Cricetulus griseus: one gene and its partners. The protein of the gene in region 1 interacts with the protein of each later gene in a pairwise test. Links are inferred from orthologs where the notes say so. Each region holds a gene or a part of one and is shown in the gene's direction. Other genes may lie near its edges. The genes, in order: Ikbkg, Tank, Epas1 and Eef1a1.

The links.
Region 2: the proteins of Ikbkg (region 1) and Tank interact in binary tests that used the Homo sapiens proteins (3 or more experiments, as listed by UniProt). The link is inferred for Cricetulus griseus from reciprocal best matches to the Homo sapiens genes IKBKG and TANK.
Region 3: the proteins of Ikbkg (region 1) and Epas1 interact in a two-hybrid assay, tested with the Homo sapiens proteins (2 studies listed by BioGRID, with this or other methods). The link is inferred for Cricetulus griseus from reciprocal best matches to the Homo sapiens genes IKBKG and EPAS1.
Region 4: the proteins of Ikbkg (region 1) and Eef1a1 interact in a two-hybrid assay, tested with the Homo sapiens proteins (2 studies listed by BioGRID and IntAct, with this or other methods). The link is inferred for Cricetulus griseus from reciprocal best matches to the Homo sapiens genes IKBKG and EEF1A1.

The regions. Positions count from the first base shown.
Region 1 is NC_048604.1:1,263,391-1,270,695, reverse strand, and holds part of Ikbkg (NF-kappa-B essential modulator), read left to right. Parts: intron 1-170; coding exon 171-313; intron 314-3,156; coding exon 3,157-3,218; intron 3,219-3,530; coding exon 3,531-3,673; 3' UTR 3,674-7,305. UniProt on the Homo sapiens protein: Regulatory subunit of the IKK core complex which phosphorylates inhibitors of NF-kappa-B thus leading to the dissociation of the inhibitor/NF-kappa-B complex and ultimately the degradation of the inhibitor.
Region 2 is NC_048599.1:113,241,008-113,248,312, reverse strand, and holds part of Tank (TRAF family member-associated NF-kappa-B activator), read left to right. Parts: intron 1-3,140; coding exon 3,141-3,694; intron 3,695-6,872; coding exon 6,873-7,046; 3' UTR 7,047-7,305.
Region 3 is NC_048598.1:88,384,925-88,392,994, forward strand, and holds the start of Epas1 (endothelial PAS domain-containing protein 1), read left to right. Parts: upstream 1-3,796; 5' UTR 3,797-4,439; coding exon 4,440-4,465; intron 4,466-8,070.
Region 4 is NC_048597.1:189,543,775-189,551,780, reverse strand, and holds Eef1a1 (elongation factor 1-alpha 1), read left to right. Parts: upstream 1-3,401; 5' UTR 3,402-3,434; intron 3,435-4,378; 5' UTR 4,379-4,412; coding exon 4,413-4,556; intron 4,557-4,667; coding exon 4,668-4,847; intron 4,848-4,926; coding exon 4,927-5,223; intron 5,224-5,306; coding exon 5,307-5,457; intron 5,458-5,541; coding exon 5,542-5,798; intron 5,799-5,885; coding exon 5,886-6,120; intron 6,121-6,208; coding exon 6,209-6,333; 3' UTR 6,334-6,602; downstream 6,603-8,006. UniProt on the Homo sapiens protein: Translation elongation factor that catalyzes the GTP-dependent binding of aminoacyl-tRNA (aa-tRNA) to the A-site of ribosomes during the elongation phase of protein synthesis.

The DNA.
Region 1 (7,305 bases):
TGGTCCTTGACCTCTTGGTGCCCTTGGGATCACAGGCTTTCATATCTGTTCCTAGTGTACTATCATGTGGCTCTGGGGGACATGACAGGATTCTGTTCCTGTGGGGCATGGCATAGAATGCCTGATGGGCAGCTGATGGATAGTTGGCATACCTTTGTTCTATTTGCCAGGCGGATATCTACAAGGCTGACTTCCAAGCTGAGAGGCATGCCCGGGAAAAGCTGGTGGAGAAGAAGGAGCTTTTGCAGGAACAGCTGGAGCAGCTGCAGCGCGAGTACAGCAAGCTGAAGGTTGGCTGCCATGAGTCAGCCAGGTGGGCCTCTAAGAGTGTAGCCAAGAACACAGCCACACACAGAGCAGTCATATACTAGCAACAACCAGTAGTAACTGCAGGAGATTGATGACTCTTGGTGTTTGCATTAAGTTCCCTTTACCTCCTGCTGCTCTCCCCATGTTCTGTCCTTCCAACAGTGACCTTTACCACTGGTCCAACTAGAAACTTCACAGAAATGCATGTATTGATAGGTATCTAAGGCTGGAGTTTTTGAGGGGATGTTAGGTTTCCTAGTGTCTTAGTTTGGTTTCCATTACTGTAATAAACATGATGACTAAAATAACTAAGGGAGGAAAGGTCAGATTATAGTTTATAATCTGTCATGGAAAGAAGTCAGGGCTGGAATCTGGAGGCAGAAACTGAAGCAGCAGCCAGAGGGGAATGATGCTTACTGCCTTGCTCAGCTTGCTTTCTTACACAACCTAGCCCACCAGTCCAGGGGTTGCACCACCCACTGTAGCTGGGTATCTCACATCAATTATTAATCAAAAAAAGCCCCACAAACTTACCTACAAGCCAATTGAGATTCTTTCCAGTTTGTGTTGATAAAAGCCAACCAGCACAGTTAACCCCTTGTCAACTTGACATACAAATACACCAAAACCTTTCCTTTCTTATTTGTTCTCCAATTCATGTTAAGATGACAATATAAAACATAAATTTAGGCTGGGCAGTGGTGACACATTCCTTTAATCCCAGTACTTGGGAGGCAGATGGATTTCTGAGTTTCAGGCCATTCTGGTCTACAGAGTGAGTTCCAGGACAGTCAAGGATGTTACACAGAGAAACCCTGTCTCAAAAAACAAAAAACAAACAAACCCTCCTCCCATAATATTGAAAGTCCCACAGTCTTTAAAACATTCCATCACTCTTAAAAAAATGTCTCTTTAAATGTCTAAAGTCCATCAATGGGCTCCTATAAAATAATAAGGTACATATTTTTTTACTCTAAGAGCGAAGAACCATGGCACAGTCACAATCAAATCAAAGCAAAACCAAAATCCAACAGTGTAAAAAAATGCAGTGCTTGATGTCGGGTATCCACTAATAATCCTCTGGGCTCCAAAGGGCTTAGGCAGCTATACTTCTCTGGCTTTGCCATTCATAGCACACATACATACTTTGTCTCATAAGCTCAGGCTGGCTTCTCTCCACAGCTACTGTTATTCTTGGTGGTTGTCCCATGGTACTGGCATCTCCACTGCACTGAGGGTGCACCTTCACAAATAACTTCTCCTGACCTCTCAAATAGTACCAAACCTCAGCTGCTTTCCATAACCCCTTCATATAGCCCAATTTGACTGCTAGCATGAGATGCAACATTGACCCACTCTGAACCAGAGCTTCTGTGTACTGACCCTGAGGATATACTCACTGGATTCTAGAGTCTAGAAGATTTCACCTCAGTGATGCTGGTCTCTTAATCACTTTCTTGGCTTCAGGTAACCAGCATCAATTGTGCCAGTAAAGCAAAGGTTTTACTTCAATGCTGCTGGTCTCTTGTTCATCATACCTGATTCTTCAGCTCCAGCTGACCAGAACTACAGATTCTTATTTCAAAATACCACATGAATGACTGTGATAGAATCTTTGCTTTGCTTCCCTCTGAAACTTTACAAGCCAGGCCTTCATCATTTTCATTGCTGTCAGCATTCTTATCTTCCTTGGCTCCCACAGAACAGCCCATTAAGCTCTAACTACTTGATGATGGCATTTCCAGTCCAAAATTCCAAAGTCCTTCCACAGTCTTTCACAAAACAATATGGCCAGGTCTGTCTTAGCAAATCCCCAAGAGCCTGGTACTAATGTCTGTCTTAGTTTTGTTACTGTTGTGATAAACACCATGACCAAAAACAACTTGGGGAGGAAAGGGTTTATTCATCCTACAGTTTTACTATGATTAGGGAAGTCAGGGCAGGAACTAGAGATGGGAACTAAAGCAGAAATCATGGAGGAACTGCTTTTTGGCTTGTTCTCCATGGCTTGCTCAGCTTGTTTTCTTATATAGCCCAGGTGGTTACCTAAGGGATGGCACCATCCCTAGTGAACTAGGCACTCTCACATCAATGATCAATGAAGAAAATGCCCCACAGGCTTGCCTCCAGGTCAATATAATAGGGACGTTTACTCAATTGAGGTTCCCTTTTATCAGATGACTCCAGCTTGTGTCAAACTGACAAAAAAAAACCCACAAACAAAAAAAACTAACCAGTACAAATAGAGTTCTCCCAAATTCATGTCTACCTAAAACCTCATAATCTGACCTCATTTGGAAATAGTATCTTTGTATATATAGCTAGTTAACATAAGGTCCTATCAGGTTAATAAATTGACTGTGGTCTTTATAGAAGCACCACATTAAGATACATAAGGCAGACACAAGAAGGCCAAGACAAAGAGTCTGGGATTCAGCTATAAGCCAAGAAATTCCAACGAATCTGTTAACTATTATCATCTAGGGGAGAGTATGGTACTTCTGCCCAGTCCTCTGATACGTTGATTTAGGGCACCTGGCCTCCTACATCGTGCACATTTTTGTTATTTTTAAGCTACCAGGTATGTGGTAGTTTGTAGTAAGGTTCTGAGAAAACTGATGTAGGGGGAACCCAGGAGTAATTGCTAGTAAGTACAAAGTTTCCTTTGGAAGATGATGAAATATTCTAAAATTATACAAATGATTGGATATGCTGAATATAGTAAAAAAACACTGAATGATACAATTTAAATTGGTGAATTGTATGGTACATGAATTATATCTCAATGAAGATGTTTATTCATAAAAATTCCTGCAGGCATTGATTGAATGGTTTTTGTTTTCAAAGGATTGAGGATATGAGGAAGCGACATGTAGAGACTTCCCAGCCCCCTTTACTCCCTGCTCCAGGTGAGTGAACAGGTGGTAGATGATGGGTGGAGATGGATAGGGAGGGCAGAATATTGTGCTGAGGGAAAGCATGCATTAGCCTCCCTGCTGCTCTGATTTGGGGAGCTCTTGTTGGCCATCCCCAGCAGTAGCCTACAGCACCCTGAGGCAAAAGGAGGAATGTGCTGGTAGAGGTGGCTCCCAGCCACACATAGTCAAATATGGTGGTATCTGTAGGTCTTAGTACCTTGTTAGCCTCTCCTTCCCTTTTGAGGTCTACCCAGTCTGTTCATGAAGCCTATCCAGCTGGCCTCTGTTTTTTTTTTTTCTCAGCTCACCACTCCTTTCATCTGGCTTTGCCCAACCAGCGGAGAAGTCCTCCTGAGGAACCACCTGACTTCTGTTGTCCCAAGTGCCAGTATCAGGCACCTGATATGGACACTCTACAGATACATGTCATGGAGTGCATAGAGTAGGAACAGCAGATGTAAGGCCACTTGTAATACCATGTCCTGAACTATGCAACCTGTGCTTTCCTGTTTCACCTGCATAGTCCACAATTAAGGGCTTGTTGTCAAAGAGCTGGCCCCAGGACCTAGTTGGATCCTTGCTTTAGCCCTTAGGCCTGCTAGTTCTGCACTGGGATAGACAGCCCCAGTCAGGGCTGTGTTTTCCCCTTTTCTTCTGTGTGCCTGAGTCAGTTGCCTCTGTAGCTTCTTCCTCCCTCCTGTATTCTCCTAGGAAGTCTAGAATGGAGGTCAGGGGCTCTCAGGGAGCATCCCTTCTCCAAGCAGGGCTGGGTGCAGCTCTTCCTCCAGCTGGTGCCTTATTGCCCTGAGCTGCAGCCTGCCCTCCCAGGGTATGTGCCACTTAGGGCCATAACATGTGTTGCCTCTGATGGACATTTGGGAAGTATTCCATCTTTTTGCTACCGTAACTAATGGTGTAGTGAAAGTACTTGTACACTGATCTATGTGTACCATTAAGACATATGCTTAGACATAACATTGGAGCCTTGCCGTGGAGGAGGTTGGTCCACCTTTGTGTTTCTGCCATCTGCTAGACATGTTGTTCTTTACTAAAGAGTGTGCTTAAGTGTCTTTTTCTGGTGTATGTGGGCCCTTTTTAATTCTGCTGATGTAACTTGGATTTGCATATTTTCTACCCACTTTTCTGTCTCATCATTGCCATTTGTTCCTGGGGTGCTCTTTGATCATGAGTCAGATTAGCTCTTGTCTATCACAGAAAGTGCACAACTTGTTCCACTTTGATTGTGTTACCGTTTTGGGTCCTGGAAGCTGTTTATGTACTCATGTCCATTCTTTACTCCCATATTTTGGCTTTGGAGTTATGACTGCTTTGTGATCTGACATAAGGGTATTTCACATACATGCTTTTCTTGTTCTAGCCCCAGTGTGCTCTTCTCTTTGGAAAGCACATTGTTGTCTTGTGTGAATGTTGGTTTCCATAGTTCATCACACTCGAGAAGTTTGTGATGGCATGTTCTCCACTAGCCCAGATAATTCTGTCTTGGGAACCATTTAGTAGTGACTGGCAGATTGTGAACAAGGTTCTAGCCATTTTCTGGGACCTTACAGTCATTGGTATTAGCCTTGCTATTCTAGTAAAGTAAAGGAAGTTGGAGTTGAGAAAGCAATAGATGTGCCTTGCTGACTCCTCAGGCCTGAAACCCTTTCTGCCCTCCTGCAAGCTTTCATGTTTCTGAGTGGGATCTGTAAATCAATCCCTGCCTGGGCTTTATTCACAGGGCTTCTTGCCGATTAAGAGAGAGAAGGTTGAGTAGAATTAGGATTTAAAAAGTAAGCCTGAGCTGGGGGCTTCCTCAGAATTTCCTGTTTCCTAATTCCCAGGTATCTATCAGACAGATCTTTGGGGAAATGTTAAAGGAATAGACATGTTCTTTGCTCATGAACCCTTCATTTAAATACCTAATTTAATTTTCCTTCAGGACTGCTATTGATTTGGTTTGATTTAGTTCAGTTTTGTGGTGGCCAATGACTTTCCTATAGCTGTCCTAAAAATTCCCAGAGGCTTGAAGCAGCAAAAGAATCACTCTTTTATGTCTGGAAGTCAGATATTAAATTTCTTCTGAGAATCAATTCCAGGCTTTCTCTCAGCTCTTGGTAGTTTTTGGCAGTCCTTGGTGTTGCTTGGCTTATAGACCCATCACTCCAATCTCTGGTTCTAGGGCCTAATGGTCTCTTCCTCTACACCAAATTGTAGATGTGGGGTCTATCTGGTAATTAAGAAGCTCAAGACTCTTGCCTCACTACACCTTCCATGACCCTTTTCCCAAATAAAGTCATGTTCTCAAGTTCTGAGGGTTTGGGCTTACACAACCCAGAGTAGGGATATCATCAGAACCTGAGTGCAGCCCAAAGGCAGGACTCTAGGGTGATGGTGACTGCTAGGCTTCAGAATTTGGAGGAGGTCAGGCCCTTATAGGTGCTATGCTCCTAGCAGGGCCAGTGGGTGTGACTGAGAAAGGCAGGTTGGCTGTAGCAGGAAAGAGCTGTTTACTTCTTGAAGTAGCTGTATGGGCTTCATGCTTCTTGGATAAATAGAGATACATAGGTACATTTCTGACCAGTACTTTATCCTGAAAGTGGTGCAGAAAGCTGGTGTTGACCCAGGTTGCACAGCAGGATCACCTAGAAGCCTTGAAAGCTTGAAAACATTCTGGCTTGGGCTCCATAGACTGGTCAAGCCAAAATCTGAGGGTGGCCCCAGGCAGTGGCTGGGATCTAGTACCCTTCTCAGAAGGTGGGAGCTCTTGACACCTCCTTACCCTGAAGTATAATGGGCAATTAACCACACATTAAATACCAAGGATCTGGGATCCTACCATCTTCCCTGACGTGGGACATGCTTCTTTCTTTTCTGGAATTATTTAATTAGACCTGGAAAAACTAGTTGTTGGTCCTTAACCCCTCACACAAGGGAATTAGCCTATTTGCTTTTATGAGCTATGGCCCCTAGCAGACAGCTTCTGGATCCAGACATCCAGAAGCATATTCTTCCCCAGAAGTCCTATTACTGTTACTTATGCTCTCTTCCTGTTGACCCATGACCAAGAGAAATCCAGAGAAACAGCAAGACAGTGCAGAGTACTTCACCCACTGCAGTAACAAAGGATAAGGTGTAGATTGTAGGTAGAGATGATGTCAAAATAGGAACAGTTGCAGCACTGTGTGTGATACCCTCAGGCATGGTGAGGCCTTGAAGTGTTTCCCTTTTCAAGGGAGGCTGTTTGGTGAGATGGAACAAGCACTTTGGAAACATTCTCAGCCCTCTTTATATGACAACTTCGTCCTCACAGTGACTATTTCATTGGAGTGGCTCTCATGGCCACCATCATTTGTCACTACCAAAGGCTGTGATGAAATAGGCCATATATCTGATGACATAGGCCTGCATAGCCAGCATTTTGAACATTTTGTTGCATGGAACATTTTCTGTAGTATGGTATAAAAAGGCCAGAGGATTAAATTATGCACAAAATATGAAATAAAGAAGACCTGTAAGCATGCACCCTGTCCTCACTTAGTGGATGTATGGGCAGAATTGCCAGTAACAGAGTTTTTTTGGTGCTATTTCTATGTCTTTAATTCTGATGCATTATATAGGAAGTAGCTGTTGCATACAACTTTGAGGTTTCCTCTGTCTATGACTGATACAACAGAGTGGTGCAAGGGGCCAAGTCAACTAACATGGGGCCTGGATTTCCTGTGACTGCAGCAACAAAGTACCACTCGTTGGGGGCTTAGGCAACAGAGATTTCCTGTCCCCCTGTTTTGGAGGGCAGAGATCTGAGATAAGTATGGGCAGAGTGGGTTCCTCATAAGAGATAACCCATTCCAGACCCCTTTCCCATTGTGTAGTAGGTCCCAGCAATTCTTAGTGCTCTCTGGTTGGACCTGCATCTCAGATTCTGCTACTTTTGTCACATGGTCACCTTGTGTTTCCTTTTTATAAGCACACCAGTGTCAAACAAAGGTGGCTATTTGGTAATACAAAAAACATTTTGTTCAGTATTTAGTGATGGAAAGAGCCAATCTGCAGAGATAGTCATAGAACAGCATGAGGA
Region 2 (7,305 bases), on another chromosome or scaffold:
TTCTTTTCATTTTGCTCAGTTTCCTTGCAAAAATAAATGTTATTGAAACAAATTGTAAAAGCTGCATGCTCACTGGCTTTTGTCTCGGTGAGGTATTGGGATGACAAGTGTTTCATGGACTTTGTTTGATTTCATCTAAGCTCAGACTTCTAGTAGTCATCGGAATCTTAGAATCGTACTCTTACCACATGTACAGATTAACTCAAATTACTTAAATGTAGCTAAGCTCGTATACCAGCTAGCTATTCCAAAAGAAGATACTGGACTACTTCTTACAGCTGACTGATGTTTCCCTGTTTGCTTTGGAGGGGGATTAGGTCAACTGTTAAGAAAGTCACTCCAAGCACAGTTCTGCCAGCTTGACCCTCTCTGTGTAGAAAGCAGCATGTTCAATTTAACATAATGGCTCTGACAACACTCTGGAGTTGACTACCTGGGCTTTAGTGCCAGATTTAGCTTCACAAGCTGAACAGCCTTGGAAGTAGCCATGGAGTTAACCTCTCCATATCCATTCCTTTGCATATAAATTAGAGATAATAATAGTGCCTGAGTTGGCGTTCCTTTGAGTATTAAGTGGATTAATGTACATACCACAGTTAGTGCATGGCACATGGAAGTGCTATCAGTGTTAATATTCGTTGCCATTAGTAGCAGCTGCAGATGCTAAAGCATTTACCTTGTTCTCCTGAAAATGAGTTGAGAAGATATTTCTTCTCAGGTATTGCAGAGCTTTACTCCTGTTTCCTAGCATTTCCTACGACCCTCAAGTTGACTACCAAGAAAAGTGACTACTTGAGAGTAAATGAACTTTGTCAACCTCAAAGGTCAAAGAAATTCAGCAAAACAATTGAGTTTGGTCTCAATTACTGTACTGTTTCTAGTCACAGCCAGAATGTCTAGTAAGTATGGGTTATAATTCTAGATCCTGTGAGGAAAAGAATATAGTATCATATGTGTGCCAGGCACTAGGTGGGATATCTGGGTAAACAGGGAGCAGAACATGGTTTCAGGTGCCATAGAAACCTGTTTTAATGGGGGAGGGGAAGTCTGTTTGCAAATATAAAGATGTTCAGTCCTCAGAGTACCTAAACGTCATGGGAGAGCCATCCAGAGAATCAAAGTCTAGGTCAAGGTGGGAAGGACAAGTAAGAGTTAGGCGAAGAGCTACACATTGCAATGCCTATAGCCCGGGCTAGCAAGGCCAGGGCTGGAGTACTGAGAGTTTTGGGGTAAACCTGGATGCCATAATGAGGCAGTCTGAGGGAGAGAAAGGGGGAGATGTGTAGGTGTGTATGTAATGCTACAGAATGAACTAAAGAAGGTGGAGGCATTGTACTACACACCATATCCAAACAGAAGGCTTTTTCTGTTGGAATGTACTATGGCAACAATAAGTGTCATAAGACCCTAAAGATCAAAACAATATAAAGAAATTGGCACTTGTTGAATGCTACTAACGTAAACAGACTGTGGAAAGTGCTATGTATATCCTGTACTCTTATGCCTGCTTCATTGGTAAAGTCTTCATTTGTGAATATATGACTTCACTAATGACTATTAATCTGTTGAATAAAATGTATTGCTGCACGAATAGTACTGCACACTTGTAATTCCAGCCCTTGGGTGGTGGAGTCAGGAGGGTTAGGAGTCCACTGCTAACCTCACCTACATTGGAAATTCCAGGCCAGCCTGAGCTTCATAAGACCCCCATCTCAAAAACAAAAGCAAATAAACAAATGCACTGCAAAACACATTGGCTTCTTGAAGTGGCATTGTGGAACCTATGTTTTTTCCAGTATCTCGGGATCATAAACATGAACTGTGCTTTGATAATTGTTGGGTGTGTTTTGGTTTGCTTTGGTACTGTGAAATATATCTCTTGCTATATTTATTACACTGTAGCCTTTGTTGGCTTTTTTTAAAAGATCTAATTTTAACCATGGGTATGTGGGTATGTGCATGAATGTGGGTACCTGTGCAGGCCAGAGATATAGGATCCCCTGGAACTGGAGTTATAGGTGATTGTGAGCCACCAGTGTGAGTTCTGGGAAATGAACTCTAGTCTTCCTGAAGGGCATGTGTACTCTTAGCACAGAGCCGTCTTTTCAGCTCTATACTCTAGTGTTTTCTGAATTCATAACTCCACATTTTTGGTTTACTAGCCTCCTCCCATACTGCCAGCATTTGCTGACTTCTTGTCTTTCTTTAACAGCTCATATTTCCATTTAATTTGCTATGATCTCTGTCACTCTAACTGGTTCCTCAGAAGTTCTCCTTGCCAGCATGTGACTATACCCTAGAGATTTTGTTGGAGAAAAGCTTATTATGAATGAGCTAAAGCAGCTTTGGTGCCCACCTCATATCTGCATGTTAGTCAGAGAGCCTTTCTAAATATGAGAAATGATATATACACATCGTTTTATTTCTCTTTCTTTTTTCTTTTTTTTGAGACAGGGTCTTACCATATAGCCCTGGCTATCCTTGAACTTGCTGTGTAGATCAGGCTGGCCTGGAATTCACAGAGATCCACCTACCTCTGCCTTCTAAGTGCTGGGACTAAAGGTGTGCTATACCACACCCAGCCATATTCACATGTAATTCCTTAAAGTACATCCCAAGATATCAATCTCTTTTGCCTTCACTGTCTTCTTTTTTTCCTGATTCTGACACCACTCAGTGTAGACAGTGACTAAACTGACTAAAGTTATACCTAATAACACATTGCTATTAGGGGAAATGAATTAACTTATTCCTGTAGTAAATGATAAATGCTCTAATTATTCATATTCATATATATATATTTAAACTTAGAATTGTGGCCTCTGTTACAAAGTAAACATATAAGCTACAATCATTTTTGTAAGTGTAAAGCAGTGTAATTGAGAACAAGATGCAAAGCTTATAGTAGAAAACCTAGGAGAAAACAAAGCAATTAAGTTGCAGCCTGTATGCTGTTTGGTTCACCTGCAGGGGACTGCTATTATCCTCATGGAAGATGGGAGCAAACATAAAAATACCAGTTGTCTTCAGTTGGTATATAAACCAATAGAAAAACAATAGTCCTCTGCCTAAAGCTGTTTCAGCTGTTTTTTTCAATGATTTGAGTGTGACTATTTCCCTCTGTATCCTTTTTCCTGCAGACACACAGTGCTCTGTGCCTATACAGTGTACTGATAAAACAGAAAAACAAGAAGCGCTGTTTAAGCCCCAGGCTAAAGATGATAGAAACAGAGGTACGCCGTGTATTGAATCTGTTGTTACACCAAGAGGACTGGGCCGAGATGAGGAAGACACCTCTTTGGAATCACTTTCTAAGTTCAATGTCAAGTTTCCACCTATGGACAGTGACTCTGCTTTCTTACATAGTACTCCAGAGACACCGAACATCCATACTCCTGCCACATCTGAGGCAGTGTGCCAGGACAGATTTAATATGGAAGTCAGAGACAACCCAGGAAACTTTGGTAAAACAGAAGAAACTTTATTTGAAATTCGGAGAATTGACCCCATAACTTCAGCTATAGAGAACCTTAAAATAACTGACAAAACAAAACCCTCAAATCTTAGAGCTCCGTGTTTGCCAGCTGGAGACCATAATGTGTTCTATGTAAATAAATTCCCACTTCAGGACCCGCCTGATGCACCTCTTCCCTCACTGGATTCCCCAGGAAAAGCTGTCCGAGGACCACAGCAGGTAACTGTTTTGCATTAACAAATATTTTATTATGTGTGAACACACATTTTGTCATACATGCACAGATACGAATCTCTTTTAAGTTACCAGACATCCACTTTAAATTAATGACTATCCATAGTTGAGGCTTTCAGTAAAATATGTAAGTTATGTAATAAAGGACATGAATTTTGAATATGAACATGATAAAGGTCTCTCGTGGGTTTATGGCATGGCTTTACATGCTTAGTCCTTCAGTCACAGCTTGTTTATAGCAGTATTCTAGTGGATGGTTTATTCAATTTGATAATGTGAAACAAATACTAAAAGCTATACACATAACAATACTAAAAGTTATACACATAACAATGTATAATTTTCCATAAGTAGATAACTGCACCAAATATTAAAAATAAACTGTCATTCAGCCTACTTGTTACATTCTCAGTTATGGTAGTACATAGTTCTGTAAGGTTTAGTGTGGTTGCTAACCTGACACTTAACAGACATCTTACATATTTTTTTCAAATAATGAGTTATTTGAAATGATTCGTATGAATGAGTTAATCAAATGTCTATTTACTGTTTATGAAGCATGAAGACTTTATAGCCCATGAATCTAATCCTACCATCCTGTCTTTCAGATTCAGGGTTTTTTTCACATAAATATTCTTTTTGTTAGGGAGGAAAATAAATTTTGTTTAGTTCCTAAAGACAAATGAAAATAAATAGAAGCTTGTGGGGAAAAAACAAAATCCTCATTTGAACTTTTGAACATTTAGTTTTCTTCAATATAGAAAAATTCCTTTGGCTTTAAGTATTCTTAGCAGCTAAAGGTCTTTAAACAGTGTGTAAGGGAGGAACAGTCAGACTGGAGTACATTTCAGTAGTAGGTAAAACTAGGGGTTCTGACAAGTCTTAATTATTAACTCTCTGCCTTCTACCCTGTACCTTATTTCACATCATGGTCTCAGCTATAGTTGCTACCAAATGAAACAATTAAACAATTTCATTTATTGCTAGTGGAATTCCTGTGGAGCTGTGAACTGCATCAGTTCTAATGCTTGTTACTCTCTCTCCATTATATCTCTTGCTTGTTCTTTTCCTAGTCAGTCTGTGCATTCATGTTTCAGTAGATGGCACCCTGCATTGTACATTTACTTTCTATATTGCAGCAAGGGAAACAGCTGGTATGTGATTACAACTTGATGGAAAAGTATTCAGCTTTAAAAATTCAAGAGAATTGGTGTTGAGCTGTCACAAGTCATGGGGCATAAGGTTAGATAATTGATATTGTGGCAGAAAAAGCAAAGAAATTGGTTTGGTTTAAAGGCCACGTTACAGTTGTAGTTTGCAAAAATATTTATTTAAATGAGTATTTTGAACATTACTCTTTGGTATTAACAAAGCCCATGGGTACAATTCTTGAGTGGTCCACAGATAGTAAGAAAAGAAGTTTTGATTACATACTTTATTTTTACTTTATATTAATCATCATTACCAATTATGTATTTTTCACTTCAGTTTTCATAGCAGAGACTAAAATCTATATCGGCTGATTTTTGTTCTGTGTGATTTTCTTTTTTTATTTTTGCTGAGTCAGTAATCAAGCTTCCAATTAAATTCTAAGAACAGATCGAATCTGAACTAAAAGCTACTGTTAGATTTGAAAAGTAAATTGTCAATGGAAGATTGGCTTACCAAATTTAGGAACTGGTTCACTTTTAAGCTAATTTCTTGCTGTTTTATCAATCTTAATAAAAAATACCTTTAATCATTTCATTACTAGCCACCACAGTTTTGCATTAGAGTGTTTGTTTTTTTTTTACTTTTTCATTAAACTACAGCCAGTAACATTTGAATCTAATTAACTCTTAACTAATTCCATTTATAATTATTACTGCTTTTCTGTCATCAGGGAAATTTTTCAACAAAAAAGTGCTTTACCCCAAATTTTATGACATTTATTTTAGATATTTTTAATTTTGTGGCAACAGTCACTTCCCATGAAAATAAGTTGAGTCCACATTCTAAGGTGTTTGTAATAACTCTTCAATGTGTCTTGCTACCAAAACAGAATTTATATATTAAAACTGCTGTACACAGCTGTCCTGCAGTGCTCATTATTAGACAGTGATGCCTTGAAACCCAGATACTTCAATTAACAATACTGTTTATGTAAATACTTAGCTAACTAGAATGAAGTTAAAGGTGTAAACACTGTCAGGTGCCGAACTAAACTGTGTTTCATTAAAAACATTAGTAATTGGAGCACAAAGGAATCTCTTTGAATGGTATTATGAGGTGACTCTCTTAATTTAGCTAGGTCAGGGTAATTCACCTGTGTCAAGGTACAAATAAGTTGTTAATAATCGGGCTTATACAGTCAGGAGAGTTAGATATTCTTGTCAACATCATTTTTAAGTAGCTACTGTTAAACTAATTCCTGTGTAGTATTATTCTAGACTTCTTTAAAGGATATTTACAAGTTTTTGTTTGCTAATAAGTACACTGGAGCTGGTTCTATTTAATTACAACTTTCCAAAGTTCTTTAATTGGGCAACTATTGACAGGTTTTTATTTTATTCATCTGCAAGAAAGAGTGAGGCCAAACTATAAAACAGGCAAAGTAAGCAATCAAGAGAACATGTCTCAGTTTAAATATTGTCGAGTGATTTAATATTTGAATTCTTTTTAAACTGACAAATGGAATTTGTGTAGTAGTTTAAAAGAAACTTTTCTGAAGAAGTCAAAATGCTTATTATATGTGATTTGTTTATTTGGATTTTGAATTGCCTTTAATAAAAGTGTGCTTGTACATGTATTATTACAATTTAAGGTTCCTTAAATTGTGAAGTAGAAAATATAGAACTTCATAAAGTCTAAAGTACTGGCTATTGTTTCAAAACTATTGCCATTGAGATAACTGAATATTGATTGGAGAGATGGCTCGGTGGTTAAGAGATAACTGAATATTAACGACTGCTGGTGTTAAACTGGAGTATTTTTAAACACATAAGGATAAAATTCAGGAGTATGTGGTTCAGTTGTGCCCACTCTGAAAAAGAAATCTGCTTTAACATTAGATAATTTCTGATAAAAGCTCATATAAAAGTCATTCATATATTTGGATTTGAAATTCAATGCAAGTTGATTTTAAATACAAATAACAAAAGATGTTTTTGTTTGTTTCCTGCAGCCCTTTTGGAAGCCCTTTCTTAACCAAGACACTGACTTAGTGGTACTAACTGGCACAGACTCGGAATGCCTTAAAGCTCAAGTGTGTGAATTCTGTCAAGAGCTTTTCCCACCGTCCAATACATCCAGGAGGGATTTCCTCCGGCATCTTAATTCACACTATCATGAGACTTGAGTCACATTTGAAAACAGACATATTATGTTCTCTGATGATTCTGGATTTGTAATGCTGGAGAATGCTTGCTTGTAAGCTAGATTTAAGATGGTTTATAAAAGAAATTCAGTCATAGCTATTTGAATTTTTTTCTAAACTTGTTACCTTAGCTTTTGAGATCATTTTGTCTAAAATTAATTCATTATATTCATGTTTACACTATTACAATAATTCAAAATTATGCATGTGACTTAGAGTTACATAATAATTTATGTCTCAA
Region 3 (8,070 bases), on another chromosome or scaffold:
ACAGACAGTGTTGTGCAAATGGGTCGGGCCCTCCTGGAGGGAGAGAAGTAGCCCGATGTATTGTTTTCCATGGAATAGCACAGCAGCAGAGTAACTGTGGATCAATGACTGCTCCATTGACTAAGCCACACGGGGAGAAACACATACAGCCTCTCACTGCCACCACCTTATTCCTAGAGCCATCAAGAGAAGCCACTGGCCTCTAAGTCACTGCCAATCCAGGTGTGAAGGAGCAGCAGTGGGATCGGTTGTAAACAAGTAGCTCCATCAGAAGCCACTCAGACAGTGGAATAAAATCACAGAACCTCTTCAGAATGACAACAAATCCTGAGTATATGGGCCAAAAGTCATAATGTTTAATAACATATATAGCACGCGTCTAGGAAATGACCTCAGGATGTTGGCCAAGAGCCACACATAGGAGGATGATAGTCTGGTACCAGTGTTCAGGGTTAGAGCATGAATATAGAAAATAGGTCTTGTAAAGTCATGGCATAGGTTGGTTTTGTTTGGAATGGAGCTGTGTGTGTGTGTGTGTGTGTGTGTGTGTGTGTGTGTGTGTGTGTGTGTAGGGGTGAGTGCCTATTTGAGTAAAAGTAAAAACCTTTCTTGTTATTGTGATACAAGAATGGTTGTAGGAGAGAGGAGGGAAGGTGGAAGGAAAGGAGAGAGGGAGAAAGAGAGGGAGGGAGGGAGGAAGAGGCAGAGAGGGAGAGAGAGAGGAATGGAGGGGGAGAAGGGAGGGAGGGAGGAAGAAAGAGAAGGAGAGAGAGAGAGATGAATGCAGGTGTTCAGCTCACTTCCTCCTTTTTATTCAGTCTGGGATTCCAGTTCATAGAGTCTGGAAACACCCTCATGGACAAGCCCAGAGTTGTGTTTCCAAAGTAATTCTAAATCCAGTCAAATTGATAATGCAGATTAACTCTTGGGGGTGAGTCAGAAAGGTTTGTCAAGGGGGAGGAGCAATGACCTCTCCCAGCTAGCCCTTCCTCCCATCTCTGCTACCTTCCTTGTTCCTGACAATTCAGAGGACTGTCACATGAGACAGTGTACTTGCAGGACAGTGGCAAGTGCAGGTTTTTGTGAATTTGAGTATCTCCTTCCATTTCTGAGTCCTAGGGGCTACTCTTGTCTTTCTTCTTGATCCCATTGTGACAAGGAACTGAAAGTCTGTCAAACACTAAAGCAATAGCCCAGCCTTTCTCGGTCTCTTCTGCTAAGACCTAGCCACTCCAACCTGATTACAAACCATATCCTGGGTCATGTCTGTCACTCTGACAGGATTACTGAGTCATCCTCACACCTTCCTGCTATATCCCAAGTACCTGCTTTCCTTAGGTTTGTAGGTTAGCCTTTATCAACAGCTGTCCTTCTAATGGGACACTCAACAAAGAAGGGAAGAAACCAAAGACCCAGGCACATCCCTTATTAAAACAAGTAGGCAGTCCCTTGATGTCACAGCTGTTGACTCCAAGCAGTTCAGTGGAGAACCAAGAGACAGGACACACACACACACACACACACACACACACACACACACACACACACGACAATGGGATCACGGGACACCGGTGGGGGATGACTTCCTAAGGGATAGGTCATCTGTGTCCCCTTTAAGCTTTCCTTCAGGATACCTTCTGCTGTTCTGTGGCCCTAACATCAATGTCTCTTGAGAGATTTTCTCTAAAGCCAGGGGCACCATTCCCCCACCCCTACCATCTATTTTCAGAGCTTCTCCCCCCACTTTTAGTTCTCCACAGGTGCTAAAACTACAAAGAATGCTGTGACTGGTTTACACTCTTAGCTCCATACAAAGGTTGTTGACTAAATTCTGGAAGACATGTTAAGAGGCTTTAGGTAGACCAGACGGTTCTGCTCTGTGCAAGGCTGGGACCTTCTGGGAATTATATAGGCCCATTTCATGTGTAGGTTAAAACCCCAGTTAGAAAGAGGGGATGTCAGCACAGGGAAGGGGCTGTGCTAATGTGGCTGCTGTGCTTCTTGAGTGACTTTTGTAGCATCTGCTGCTAGGGGTTGAACCCAGGGCCCCACACATGCTTGCACCTTAGGGCCCTACCTTTCCTCTTAAAAACAAAAATCTTCCAAACAAATTTCATAACCTCAGCCCTACTGAAATGTTCCCTGCAGGTTAGAGGTATTGCATAGTCACCTGTCAAGCACAGCTCAGGATTCAAGAGCTCTAGAGGAAAACAATGTTAGGGTCCTTGATGCTGCCAAAGTGCTTGGGTTTATTTTTTTTTAATTATTGTTTGACTTTCCCCCCTTCCTCCATTCCAGTCTCAAGTGACTTAAATATGCTTACCGTTTATTATAACCATGTCTAATAATTTGCGTTTCTCATTAAGACAAATAAATGAGTCTGGCAGTGTTGTCTGGATGGAGAAGTGCTGTAGGAAATCACCCACCAGTTTCTTTGAGTGAAACAAATGAATGATCTTTGAGATCACGGTCAGGTATGTGGATTGATTTCCAAGTTCTCAAGGAGAGTGTCTATCGTTTCTGATTTCCCTGCTCTCCTGGTTCCTTCAGATACCTTCCCAAGTCTCTGGGAAAATGCCTGAAAAGTGCCTCTCTTCCTGTGTACCTACACAAACTCAAGATCCGTGTCCCCCCCCCCCCCCCCGCAGCAACACACACCGGGTTTCTGCTTATAATTTTACTAAGAAACGTTGGTGAGAGAGTAATGCAGTGCGTACTGGATTTGGGTCCCAGGACAGCTCACTTTGCAGTTGCTTGCTTTCTGGGTAAGTCACACATGTGAAGCTCATGGGCCTTTTTCCCAGTCTTCGCTTGTTCCTTCTGGAGATCTCCCCTTGGATCACCTAATTAGGAAATGGGAAAGTGTCAGGGCAGGAGCACCTCACAAGTGGAAAAGGCCAAAAGAGCTCTCTGCCTGCTCGTGAGGGACTTTAGATCCATCACTTCCTGAAGGTGGTGTTATTATTCGATAACCCTGGAGCCCAAGAGGGCGGGCAGATCCAGTGACTTGGGGTGTGCTATCAACGCTCACCCCCAAGATCACACCAGGGAACCCATGGTGATGCTGGCTTATTTATTGAGGCCTGGCAAAGGCAGGCCGGAGAACTCCAAGGCCCTCTTCTCTAGTATGCGCCATAACCTAACAGCCGACCACAAGCACCTCAAACAACCCACAAACTGGTAGAGAAAAAGACACCGCAGGAGCAACCCTAAATAATTTTATTTTTGTCACATTTTCTCCCACACCTTTTCCCCCTCCTGCCTCTCGGGACTCAGAAGTCAAGGTCAGCTGCGCTTCGCCAAAAAGAGCGCACCACCCAGGCTGGCAAGCAGCACTGCAGTCGGAGTCCTGGGAATTATTCCCACCTGTCAGGGGAAGCCGCACAGCTGGGGCAGGGACGCATAGCAGCACCTGTGAGTGCGGCTCACGCCTCCGCTGCGCGTGGGACCCCCCCCACCCCACCCCGACCCCGCGGTCCTGCCCTGGTTCAGGGAAATGTGCTACTGAGAGGACCCTGGAGCGAAGTCACTCTCTGGGCTCGGGTAGCCGACCCCTTCCACTACTCAGCCCGGCGCTGAGAGTACCACAAAAACAAGTGCTGATCTGCGGAAGGAGGAGGCAGGGCTGGGCGAGCTAGGGAGGAGCTCAGCCGGAGAGAAAGGGGCGGTCCCGGGTGAGGGCAGAGGCTGTGCCGGCGCCTCCTCATTGGCCGGGACGAGGCAGCCAGCGGGTAGGGGCGGAGCTTGTCTGTCTCCCCGCCCCGGCCCCGCCCATTCCCCACCCCGGCCCCGCCCCCGGGCCGCTGTTGGGACTCCCGCGCCCCTCGCGCCCTCCCGCGGGCGGGCCGTCCGAGTTTTTAAAGTGGGCTGGCAGCCGAGGAAACCGGACATTCGAGAGCGGCCGGTGCACAGCTTCGGAGTCTCCAGCGTTCCGCTCCAGCTCTCCTGAGGCGGCCGTACAATCCTCGGCAGTGTCCTGAGACTGTATGGTCATCTCAGCGGCCGCACTCGCCTGGCCCCGGATTCTTTCCAACTCGCTCTCTTTGAGCCACTGTTTTTGTTTGTTGGCTGGTTGGTTTTGTTTTGTGACATCCCAGAAAACTGACTCCTGTTTGCGGATAAACGGAACTTCAGGTCCCTTGTCTCTGCTCTCTCCTTTGGCGTCTTACAACCTCCTCCCACTCCTTTCCCCGGCCCCGCCTCCTCCTACAGGTTCCTCCCCGCCACCCCTCTCCTCCCTCCTCCTCCTCCGCACCTAGCCAGGCGTCCGCCAAACTTCCACCTGATTGTGCGGGACACTCGGACCTGCGAGCACTAAAGACCTTTCACACCTGCCGGGGCGACAGAGAGCCGCCGAGGGCCACAGCTAAGGCAGCGGCTGCAGCCCCTACCGGCCTAAGGAACCCAGGTGCTCCGGGTCTCGGAGGGACACTGCAACAATGACAGCTGACAAGGAGAAGAAAAGGTAAGCGGGCGTCGGAACCGGCGACCAACTCAGTGCCAGGCAGTGGCGGAACCGCGCGAGGCGGGCGCGACCCGGGACAGTTGCGGGAGGTCTCGGAGGCCGGGGGACCGCTCTGGAGGTGGCGGTGGGTGGGTGGGTGAGCGAGCAGGTGCGGACTTTACGGACGCGCAGCTGCCGCTTCACAACAAAGTCGCGAACCCGATCGTTCTGAGACCTTGAGTCACAGAGAGGTGGCCCTGGAGGTCAGGGGTGCTTCCGCGGCGCCTTCCAAAGTCTGTCGTCCCCAGAACACCAAGCTCTGGGGTTTGAAATGTTTCTGGGCTGATGCCCTCGACTTTCTCAGGGTTTACCTGCTGAGCAGACACGCCTTTCTTTTCCTAAGACCCCTTCAGGTCTTTCCGAGAGCTCTCCTTTGCGGGCTCCGCGCCCCAAACTAGTAAGGGACAGAGGGCAAAGCGCAACTCGGGGGCGCTTCCTGGCCCCAGGAGCCGGAACACGGCCAAGTGCCCTGCTCCTGAAGGCACTCAAGTTTTAGAACACCCCCTTCCCTCGCCCTGCATCTGGACTCCACCAGAGAGTGGGTAGTGACCTGGATTGCCCTGCGGGGGCAGGTGTCTTAGTGTGCAGAGAGAGGACGGCGACACCGGACCTCTCCGAGTGTCTGAAGAAGACAGAGAAGGGCAACCACGAAGGCCTGTCCTCGCGAATCTTTCCGCACTGGGTGAGAGGCAACTCCGGCCAACTCGCGCTGCCCTAGTGTCTCCTTCAATCCGCCCCGGATCAGGCGACACCGGCAGGGCTCTCTCAGAGCCTGGGTGCGAGCGCACCACGCTGCCGCGCAGCCCTGGGTACACCCTCGCCTCCTGCAAAAGTTTGTGGCTAGTCGCCTGGCCCTTTGCTCCTGTTTCGACCGGTGCGAGCCTTTTGGGCTAGAGCGTCTAACACTGGGCTCAGCGGCTACTTGGCTAGGGTGGCTGGAATCGAACGCAGGATGTCAGAGTGGCGCGGGCCGCGCGGGAGATCCGCAGGCAGGATGGAAAGGACTGCGCTGAGGACTCGGCCCCAGAGCAGACTGGCTTTTGTTTGGACTTCCACTTAGGGACCCGAGCCAGGAACAGTGTATCCTCTGGTCGAAAGCGACAGCTCCCACCTCAGGGCACCGATAAGGATTTGATAAACGAGCGAATCGCACCCGTCCTGGCCAGGCGCCCGCACCGTGCGCTGACGGATCTCTAGGGGGAAGGTATTGAGTCGGGTTCTAGATTCCCCGTTGTTGCCCACCAAACAGCTCTGGGGTGCTGTGTCCTTTGAGGTTATACAAGCAAGGGAAAAGACTCAAGCTGTAAAGGCAATCAGAATGCAGTCATAATCAAAACCGCGAAGTCAGACAGCCCAGAGCCGCCAGGGGAACTTACTGAACTTTTTATTCCTGCGGTGCCTATGGGTGACTGTCGCATTTGTACAGATGAGGCCTGATGGTAATCGGTGTGAAGTGTCATCTTGCTCTTAGGTCTACCAATCATGGGAAAAGCTGCTTCCATACCCGACTTACAGAAGCCTCCTTAGCAGAGGGCTGTTGGAGGGTGCGGGGAGCCCCAGTAGGAACAGGAAGACAGTTGCATAATAACACTACAAATTACCGATGAGTGCAAGCGGCCGCTTTAAGAACCAGTGAAACACGCTGGCCTGTGAACCTCCTAGGAGGCCGCTGCGGGTGTGCAGCTCCCTAGTGGTAGCCCAGCAGGGATTTTGCGTGTGTTAAGGTAAGGCAGGGCAAGCCTTGTGCAAGTTCCCTCACTGCCCAATGCCTGTTAGGCCAATGGCATTGAGACTCTGGTTATATTGGCTGGCTTCTTAGAGCATCGAGATGTATTTAAAAATTGTGAAGCAGGGCATTGAATGCCTCACGAAATTGTTGTGAGCTGCAGGGTTTCCTGAAAGATTTGTATTTTTATTGGTTTAAGAGCTGTTTCTTCTCTAGAATATAATTGAACATTTTTCATTCTAGAAACAGCCCCTCAAGAATCCAGAAGGATTGTTTCTATTCCCAGGCATCCCTGTATATACTAATCCATAACAATTAAGAGCAAGCCTTTTCATTGTTGGCTGGCTAACAGGCTTTGACAGAGGGAACCATGTCCAGCTCTATTGAGTTTAGATGAAGCAGAGGTCTCACCAGTCTTCCAAGGTTCCTGACTCTGGGAAGAGCTAAGTATGGATGTGCTCAAGTGGAGATTTGCAGGGCAGAGCAATTAAGATAAATAGAAGCCGGGTCCCAGGATGGCCAGGAATCCAAGTCCAGGCCCTAAGCCAGACTCTAGTCTAAGTACCTTTCAGCAGTATTCTGGTACTTGATGCCAGGGCAAGGGTACCCAAGGAATGGAGACACCTGGACCTTCAAGTTTCCAGACTGCCGCTAGCTTCTCATGCTGGCTGGAAAATGAAACCAAAGTCCATCATTTGTCCAAGTCAAGGAAACATAATGCAGGATAGGTTTCTCAAGTTGAAGCTTATTCTCTAATAAGAGTTCCTTCAACACTTGTTAGCATTTTTTGTTGTATTGCCAGAACTATAGAACACTAGAGAACTGTTATGTAACACTCGAAGTTCGGGCACTTAAACTGTACTTGGTGTATACAGCTTTCATAGAGTTTTTAGAAGGTGTTGTGACTTAACGTTCGTTTATTATGGGGCTTTAAGATTATTTTGTAAACAAGCATGGAAGCCATAAAGATATTTTCTCTTTCTGGACAAGGCCCAGGGAAGGTAAAATGGCATCTCTCCTCACCAAGAAATTTAGGGCTGATAAGAAGCAGAATACTGGTTCATTTAAAGTCAGTATATGGTCAACAGAGCCCCAGCCCTGACATGCCTCTAGCCTCTGAGGATTTCCAAAGAGTTAGTGCAGCTAACCACCACCACCACCACTGCCAGACCCCTGAACCTTCAAAATTGGAGATTTACTTTCCTAGATAATTGAAAGAGCCTTCCAGATGTGACAGAAATGAAGTCAACCAGTCAGTTGGCAATGCTTTTCTTTATTTCAGGTAGAAAACACAGACACACACACACACACACACACACACACACACACACAAAAAAAAAAAAAAAAAAAAAAAAAAAAAAAAAAAAAAAAAAAAAAAAACCCTGCTGCTCTGCTGGACTTCACTGAGCAAAACCAATGCAGGGACCCTCCTCAGTTCCTGGATGTAGCAAGTTGCTTTGTAAAGTGGAGAACATTCCACAGCTACCAGATTGTTGTATGTCGAGGTTAGGTGTTTTCACAGGGATGAAATGAAAGTCATGAGATAGAAACCGTCCACTTTATTCAAATTTTATTTTATTTTATTTTTTGGTTTTTCGAGACAGGGTTTCTCTGTGGCTTTGGAGGCTGAACTAGAATATTCACATTTTAAATCAATTTCTCTGTCACAGCCTCTCTCTCTCTCTCTCTCTCTCTCTCTCTCTCTGTGTGTGTGTGTGTGTGTGTGTGTGTGTGTGTGTATGTGTGTGTGTATTCTAGGAATCTATGGTATAAAGTGTTTAGAAATAGAGGGAAACAAGCAGGTAATTCTTAATGCTCCAGGACTTCAGCCCTGGAAGTA
Region 4 (8,006 bases), on another chromosome or scaffold:
AGAAAGAAAACAAACAAACAAATAGAACAGAACAAAGGCCAGACCCCCAAGCTTGGGAGGCAGAGTCAAGAGGATTTCTGAGGCCAGCATAGTAAGTTCTAGGCCAGCCAGGGCTGCATAGTAAAATCCCTCAGAAAACAAACAAGTAACACACAACAAATAGGGCTGGAGAGATGGATCAACAGTTAAGAGCACTTGGTTCTCTTGCAGAGGACAGTTCAGTTCCCAGCGCCCAGATCAGGCAGCACACAACATTCTGTAGTAGCTAGCTCCAGGAGACCTGACACCCTGACCTCTGAGGACACCAGGCACACACGTTGTGCATAGAAACAGATGCAGGCAAAACATCCACACATATAAAACAAAAAATTAAAACCAATAAAACTCCTAAACTTTTGGTCTTTCTTGAATCTTCAATCCCTCAGGTTATGAAATAATCATTTATGCAGTCAAAAATTTGCCATTCTTGTTGCCAGGTGTGGTGATGATTCGGGGAAGCAGAAGCAGGCAGATCTCTGTGAATGAGGCCAGCCTGGTCTACAAAGTGAGTCCCAGGACAGTCAGGCCTGTTACACAGAGAAACCTTGAAAAAAAAAAGATAATATGTACTGTTGTATTACCCCAATATATAAGGCTAAACCATTAGAAGCACAACACTGTTAAGTACGGAAAATAATATCTAGTGTGGTACAGTTACTACTACTATAATACACTAATATAGCTGTGGGAAACTAGTTCCAAAGATGAATTACTAACCAGTGTTTCCAAGGAAATAAATGAAAGCAGAGAGATTAGTTCTATTGCTAGTGTTTCATTTTCGTATATTTCTTACAATTTCTCTTGTTACAAATAGGCACTAGGGTATCAAGATAATTTTAACGACTGGCTGAGAACCCTAGAAAATCTCTGTGAAAAAGGGATTTGTGAAATGAGAGAGGGTAATGTGGCCATTATAGAAAAGGCTTTTGTGTGCCTTGCATGCATAGACCCTGTGTTTGATCTCTTAACACCCTCCTTGACCAGAAAAAGCTTCTGTGGATAGAAAATGATTAGTTATATATACTTTTAGGGAAACGTAGTTCTGGATTCTTTGGTTACAATTAACAGAATTAAGTGCAAACAAAGCCAGAAACCTCCTGATAAATGAGAAAACCTGCTTGTAGAAGGTTGTAAGGCTCTGTAATATAGGAATTAGGAGAAAAGAAACCTGTGTGGTGGGGCACGTCTGTAATCCCAGCATTGGGAAGTAGAGGTAGAAGATTAGAAATCAAAGGCCAGCCTCAGCAACACAGTGAGTTTGAGGCCACCCTGAACTACATCAGGTTCTGTCTCCTTTCTTTTTTTTTTTTTTTTCTTTTCTTTTTTTGGTTTCTCTGTGTAGTTTTGGAGCCTATCCTGGCACTAGCTCTGAAGAGCAGGCTGGCCTCGAACTCAGAGATCAGCCAGCCTCTGCTGGGATTAAAGGTATGCACCACCAACGCCCCAGGTTTTGTCTCAAACAAACAAAAATAACATCAGGAGGTGGTGAGAGGGCTCAGTGGTCACAGGCATTCTCTGCAAAGCCTGACTCTGAGTTGGATCCTTTAGAGCTACATGGTTGAGGGAAGAGAACTGACTCCTGGAAGGTGTCCTCTGGTCCCCACACATAGCTATACACAGCATGTGCATTCACACACACTAAATAATGCTATTTTTAAAAAAATTAAAAACAACAACAGTTTGGGTTGTGAAAACTAGAACTAGATAATAGGTAAGAATCAAGTATCATGTAAATTTGCTTTCAACTCATCCCAAAATTTGTTTTATATTTCAGTTTTTTTCCTTCCTAGCTTGACTGTGGAGTCTTGTCCGGAAGCAAATAGTTCCTTTGCAGATCCCACATGTGGACACCGGACAGTAGGTCCTCAAATGCTCCTTATTAGGTTGGTTCAATAATATCAATTGTTTGTTACTAGGCAGTGATGTTGTACATCTGGAGGAGATCTCTTGAGCCCATAATCAGGTTATTAGGAATAAATACTCTAAGGCTAAAAATGTAGCTTAGTGATAAGAGTGCTTGCCTGGTGTGCTGAGACCCTCGGTTCCATCTCCACAACCCCATATTCCATTACAAAATACCTTTTCACCGTCCCTAGCATTAAGAAACAAAACAACAAAGAAGTTTTTCTTTCTTCTGAGATCCTGCCCGGAGAGGCATTTAAAACTGGCCAGGGCCAAAAAAAAAAAAAAAAAAAAAGAAAAAAAAGAAAAGAAAACAGGCTAGGGCCGGCATGGTGGCGCACGCCTTTAATCCCAGCACGCAGGAGGCAGAGGCAGGGCGGATCTCTGTGAGTTTGAGGTCAGCCTGGTCTACCTAGTGAGTTTCAGGGCACCCAGGGCTAAAGAGACTGTCTCAAAAACAAAACAGCCACACAATCAGAACCACAGCAAAACGCAGTTATGATCCTTGGAACTGTAGGAATGACAAGCATTTAAATAATAGGACGAGCCATTTTTGAGAAGCTCTGATTTCACAAGTGTCAGGGATGGGCTCTGGGCGAGTAAGATTGCTAATGCTGGCCTCTAAATGAGACCACGTGGAGTTGATTAGATTCTTTTCATGTTCCTCGTGCTCTATCAAATAACTGTACCCAAATACACACACACACACACACACACACAATGCGCGCACACACAAAATCCTTTTTTAGCTTAAGAAGCCCAGAATCAGAAGTAAAGCTAACTGTGGGACTTAAGTATTATTCTGAACGGAACTCCCAGGGCGTGAAGCGCGCTTCAGGCTTCCAGAGAAGCAGCTGGCGCTGGATGGAATGAACCAAGAGGCCAGCACAGGGGCAGATCCGTCGAGCTCTCGGCCACCGAGCTGAGCCCTTAGGTTCTGGGGCTGGGAAGGGTCCCTAGGATTGTGCACCTCTCCCGCGGGGGACAAGCAGGGGGATGGCGGGGCTGACGTCGGGAGGTGGCCTCCACGGGAAGGGACACCCGGATCTCGACACAGCCTTGGCAGTGGAGTCAGGAAGGGTAGGGACAGATTCTGGACGCCCTCTTGGCCAGCTCCTCACCGCCCCACCCCCGACTGGAGCCGAGAGTAATTCATACAAAAGGAGGGATCGCCTTCGCCCCTGGGAATCCCAGGGACCGTCGCTAAATTCTGGCCGGCCTCCCAGCCCGGAACCGCTGTGCCCGCCCAGCGCGGCGGGAGGAGCCTGCGCCTAGGGCGGATCGCGGGTCGGCGGGAGAGCACAAGCCCACAGTCCCCGGCGGTGGGGGAGGGGCGCGCTGAGCGGGGGCCCGGGAGCCAGCGCGGGGCAAACTGGGAAAGTGGTGTCGTGTGCTGGCTCCGCCCTCTTCCCGAGGGTGGGGGAGAACGGTATAAAAGTGCGGTAGTCGCGTTGGACGTTCTTTTTCGCAACGGGTTTGCCGTCAGAACGCAGGTGAGTGGCGGGTGTGGCCTCCGCGGGCCCGGGCTCCCTCCTTTGAGCGGGGTCGGGCCGCCGTGCGGGTGTCGTCGGCCGGGCTTCTCTGCGAGCGTTCCCGCCCTGGATGGCGGGCTGTGCGGGAGGGCGAGGGGGGGAGGCCTGGCGGCGGCCCCGGAGCCTCGCCTCGTGTCGGGCGTGAGGCCTAGCGTGGCTTCCGCCCCGCCGCGTGCCACCGCGGCCGCGCTTTGCTGTCTGCCCGGCTGCCCTCGATTGCCTGCCCGCGGCCCGGGCCAACAAAGGGAGGGCGTGGAGCTGGCTGGTAGGGAGCCCCGTAGTCCGCATGTCGGGCAGGGAGAGCGGCAGCAGTCGGGGGGGGGACCGGGCCCGCCCGTCCCGCAGCACATGTCCGACGCCGCCTGGACGGGTAGCGGCCTGTGTCCTGATAAGGCGGCCGGGCGGTGGGTTTTAGATGCCGGGTTCAGGTGGCCCCGGGTCCCGGCCCGGTCTGGCCAGTACCCCGTAGTGGCTTAGCTCCGAGGAGGGCGAGGCCCGCCCGCCCGGCACCAGTTGCGTGCGCGGAAAGATGGCCGCTCCCGGGCCCTGTAGCAAGGAGCTCAAAATGGAGGACGCGGCAGCCCGGCGGAGCGGGGCGGGTGAGTCACCCACACAAAGGAAGAGGGCCTTGCCCCTCGCCGGCCGCTGCTTCCTGTGACCCCGTGGTGTACCGGCCGCACTTCAGTCACCCCGGGCGCTCTTTCGGAGCACCGCTGGCCTCCGCTGGGGGAGGGGATCTGTCTAATGGCGTTGGAGTTTGCTCACATTTGGTGGGTGGAGACTGTAGCCAGGCCAGCCTGGCCATGGAAGTAATTCTTGGAATTTGCCCATTTTGAGTTTGGAGCGAAGCTGATTGACAAAGCTGCTTAGCCGTTCAAAGGTATTCTTCGAACTTTTTTTTTAAGGTGTTGTGAAAACCACCGCTAATTCAAATCCAACATGGGAAAGGAAAAGACTCATATCAACATCGTTGTCATTGGACACGTAGATTCAGGCAAGTCCACCACAACCGGCCACCTGATCTACAAATGTGGTGGAATCGACAAACGAACCATCGAAAAGTTTGAGAAGGAGGCTGCCGAGGCAAGTATTCGAAGGGAAAAGGTCGGGGGGGGTGGAAATCTACCGTAAGCAGGAAATTGTTTATTTAGAAACTAGATGTTTTGAGTGTACTAACTGCGAATCACTGAACAGATGGGAAAAGGCTCCTTCAAGTATGCCTGGGTCTTGGACAAACTGAAAGCTGAGCGTGAGCGTGGTATCACTATTGACATCTCCCTGTGGAAATTTGAGACCAGCAAATACTATGTGACCATCATTGATGCCCCAGGACACAGAGACTTTATTAAAAACATGATTACTGGCACTTCTCAGGTTTGTGAAATTTACTACCTTCTGACCCTTACCTCCAGCTGGAAAGCTTTGTTATTAACGGGAGGTAACTTTTTCTTAGGCTGACTGTGCTGTCCTGATTGTTGCTGCTGGTGTTGGTGAATTTGAGGCTGGTATCTCCAAGAATGGGCAGACCCGTGAGCATGCCCTTCTGGCTTACACCCTGGGTGTGAAACAGCTAATTGTTGGTGTTAACAAAATGGATTCCACCGAGCCACCTTACAGCCAGAAGAGATACGAGGAAATTGTGAAGGAAGTCAGCACCTACATTAAGAAAATTGGCTACAACCCTGACACAGTAGCATTTGTGCCAATTTCTGGTTGGAATGGTGACAACATGCTGGAGCCTAGTGCTAATGTAAGTGACTTGAAGAAGGTGGTTAAATGGAAAAGCTGTAAGGGGGGAGAGATTATAAAACATTTGGCTACTCTGCATTTCAGATGCCTTGGTTCAAGGGATGGAAAGTCACCCGTAAAGATGGCAGTGCCAGTGGTACCACACTGCTGGAAGCTTTGGATTGTATCCTGCCACCAACTCGTCCCACTGACAAGCCACTGCGACTGCCCCTCCAGGATGTCTATAAAATTGGTGGTAAGTAGAGCATTCGGACACTGGACTAAGATGTTTTGAGGTGTGTTCAGTTGTCTTCACCTTATATACTGTAAATGTTTTTAGGTATTGGGACTGTTCCTGTGGGCCGAGTAGAGACTGGTGTTTTAAAACCTGGAATGGTGGTTACCTTTGCTCCAGTCAACGTTACAACAGAAGTAAAGTCTGTTGAAATGCACCATGAAGCTTTGAGTGAAGCTCTTCCTGGAGACAATGTGGGCTTCAATGTAAAGAACGTGTCTGTCAAAGATGTCAGACGTGGCAACGTTGCTGGTGACAGCAAAAATGACCCACCAATGGAAGCAGCCGGCTTCACTGCTCAGGTAAACAAGATAGGTGTCAAGAGTGTAATATTGATAGCAGCATGCAAAACCTGAAGGCAAGATTTAACCAAATGCTGTTTCTTTCAGGTGATTATCCTGAACCATCCAGGCCAAATTAGTGCTGGCTATGCTCCTGTACTGGATTGTCACACAGCTCACATAGCATGCAAGTTTGCTGAGCTTAAGGAGAAGATTGATCGCCGTTCTGGTAAGAAGCTGGAAGATGGCCCTAAATTCTTGAAATCTGGTGATGCAGCCATCGTTGATATGGTTCCTGGCAAGCCCATGTGTGTTGAGAGCTTCTCTGACTATCCTCCACTGGGTAAGTAGAACTTAAGTTTCTGTTGCACTGAGTATTGTTTGGATATGAAATGCTGTATGAACAAGTGCTCATAACTGTTTCTGTGTAGGTCGTTTTGCTGTTCGTGACATGAGGCAGACAGTTGCTGTGGGTGTCATCAAAGCTGTGGACAAGAAGGCTGCTGGAGCGGGCAAAGTCACCAAGTCGGCCCAGAAAGCTCAGAAGGCTAAATGAATATTACCCCTAACACCTGCCACCCCAGTCTTAATCAGTGGTGGAAGAACGGTCTCAGAACTGTTTGTCTCAATTGGCCATTTAAGTTTAATAGTGAAAGACTGGTTAATGATAACAATGCATCGGAAAACCTTCAGGAGGAAAGGAGAATGTTTTGTGGAACATTTTTGTGTGTGTGGCAGTTTTAAGTTATTAGTTTTCAAAATCAGTACTTTTTAATGGAAACAACTTGACCAAAAATCTGTCACAGAATTTTGAGACCCATTAAAATACAAGTTTAATGAGAAGTCTGTCTCTGTTAATGCTGAAGTCATTACTAAGTGCTTAGCTTAGCAAGGTATGTGGATGCCCATTTGTGTTCCAAGGGATTGGACTGTTCATCAGGACCCAGAGCTGAGTTTCAAGGGCTCAAGAGATGGCTTATTACCTGTGGGTGTCTTGAAGGTTCTGGTTGGGACAAATTAGGAATGTTTTTGGCAGACATGGTGACTACCCTTCATCTGGGTGAGTTCAGTTGATTTGTCTTGAGCCTTTGGGGTTTACACAAGTAAATGACATCATACAGTTAGTGTATTGTTAGTGAATATTAATATATGAGGCAGGCTTTGCTCTAGCAATTTTAGAACTAGTTTTCAGGAAAGGGTTCATCTTGTGCATTGGATGTTTGATTCTATCACTTAGAGTTTAAACTGAAAGTGCTCAAGAGGTTTTATTTAGGCTGGGATATAAATAAGCCTTTCTGTAGCTTGTAATGGTATCAGGAATTTAAAAGGCCATCTGGGGCACAAAGATTAAGCAGAAAAGGTAGAAGGTGAGATTGGGGGACTTTGAGTACTTCACACACTTTAATGTGTGAGTGCTTTAGTGCATATAGTACAACTGCCAGATAAGGGCATCCACATCTGATTGTTTGGAAGGCACCTTGTGGTTTCTGGGAATTCAGAATTGGGAGAAAAAGTGCTCCCAACCGCTGAAGCCCTTGGTAATCTGCAGGGTGTTTATTTAGCAGGAGATAAGGACAAAAAGTTATAGTGTGGAGTTGGTTGAGTTGGTAGATGTCATTACAACAGGTGGTCTTAAATTGGGTTAGGAGTCACTTTGAAATACCTGGGCCATAAGCAAAGTGGCATTTTCACCTTTCAGGAGAAACTGGTACACTTATCCATTCTATAGTGCATGCTTGTTCAATTGGGCTGATGACTAAACCGGTGACTAAAGGTTTGTCAGTATAAATGGATGGGTTGTAGGCAGACGGTGAGGAATTACTATACCTGCAAGGAGTCATTGCCTGATCTGCCTGGAAAGGGGCAGGATTGAGTCTCAGAAGGTGTACACCATAGGATATGGAAAAATTTGTCACGCCTAGCATTCAACTTAGTGGTGTAGCGCCACCTACTGGCACTTTAAAAGCTTAGCATAGAGGAGCATGTGTGTTAGGAGCTCGGATGGGATCCAGGGCCTCAAGGTTTGCATGTAAATAAAAGCCCTTTACCAAATTAACTACATACCAGCATACATCAGTCCTTTAGTGTTGAAAAACAGAAGTGAAAGCTAATATATATAGTGCTTGCTTTATTTAAGTCTAGCTGATTACGTGTTTGGTTGCCAGTGTGACTAGTCTGGAGTTGAATTTGTCCTCAGACACGTAAAATGGAATTTGGGATTCACAACAC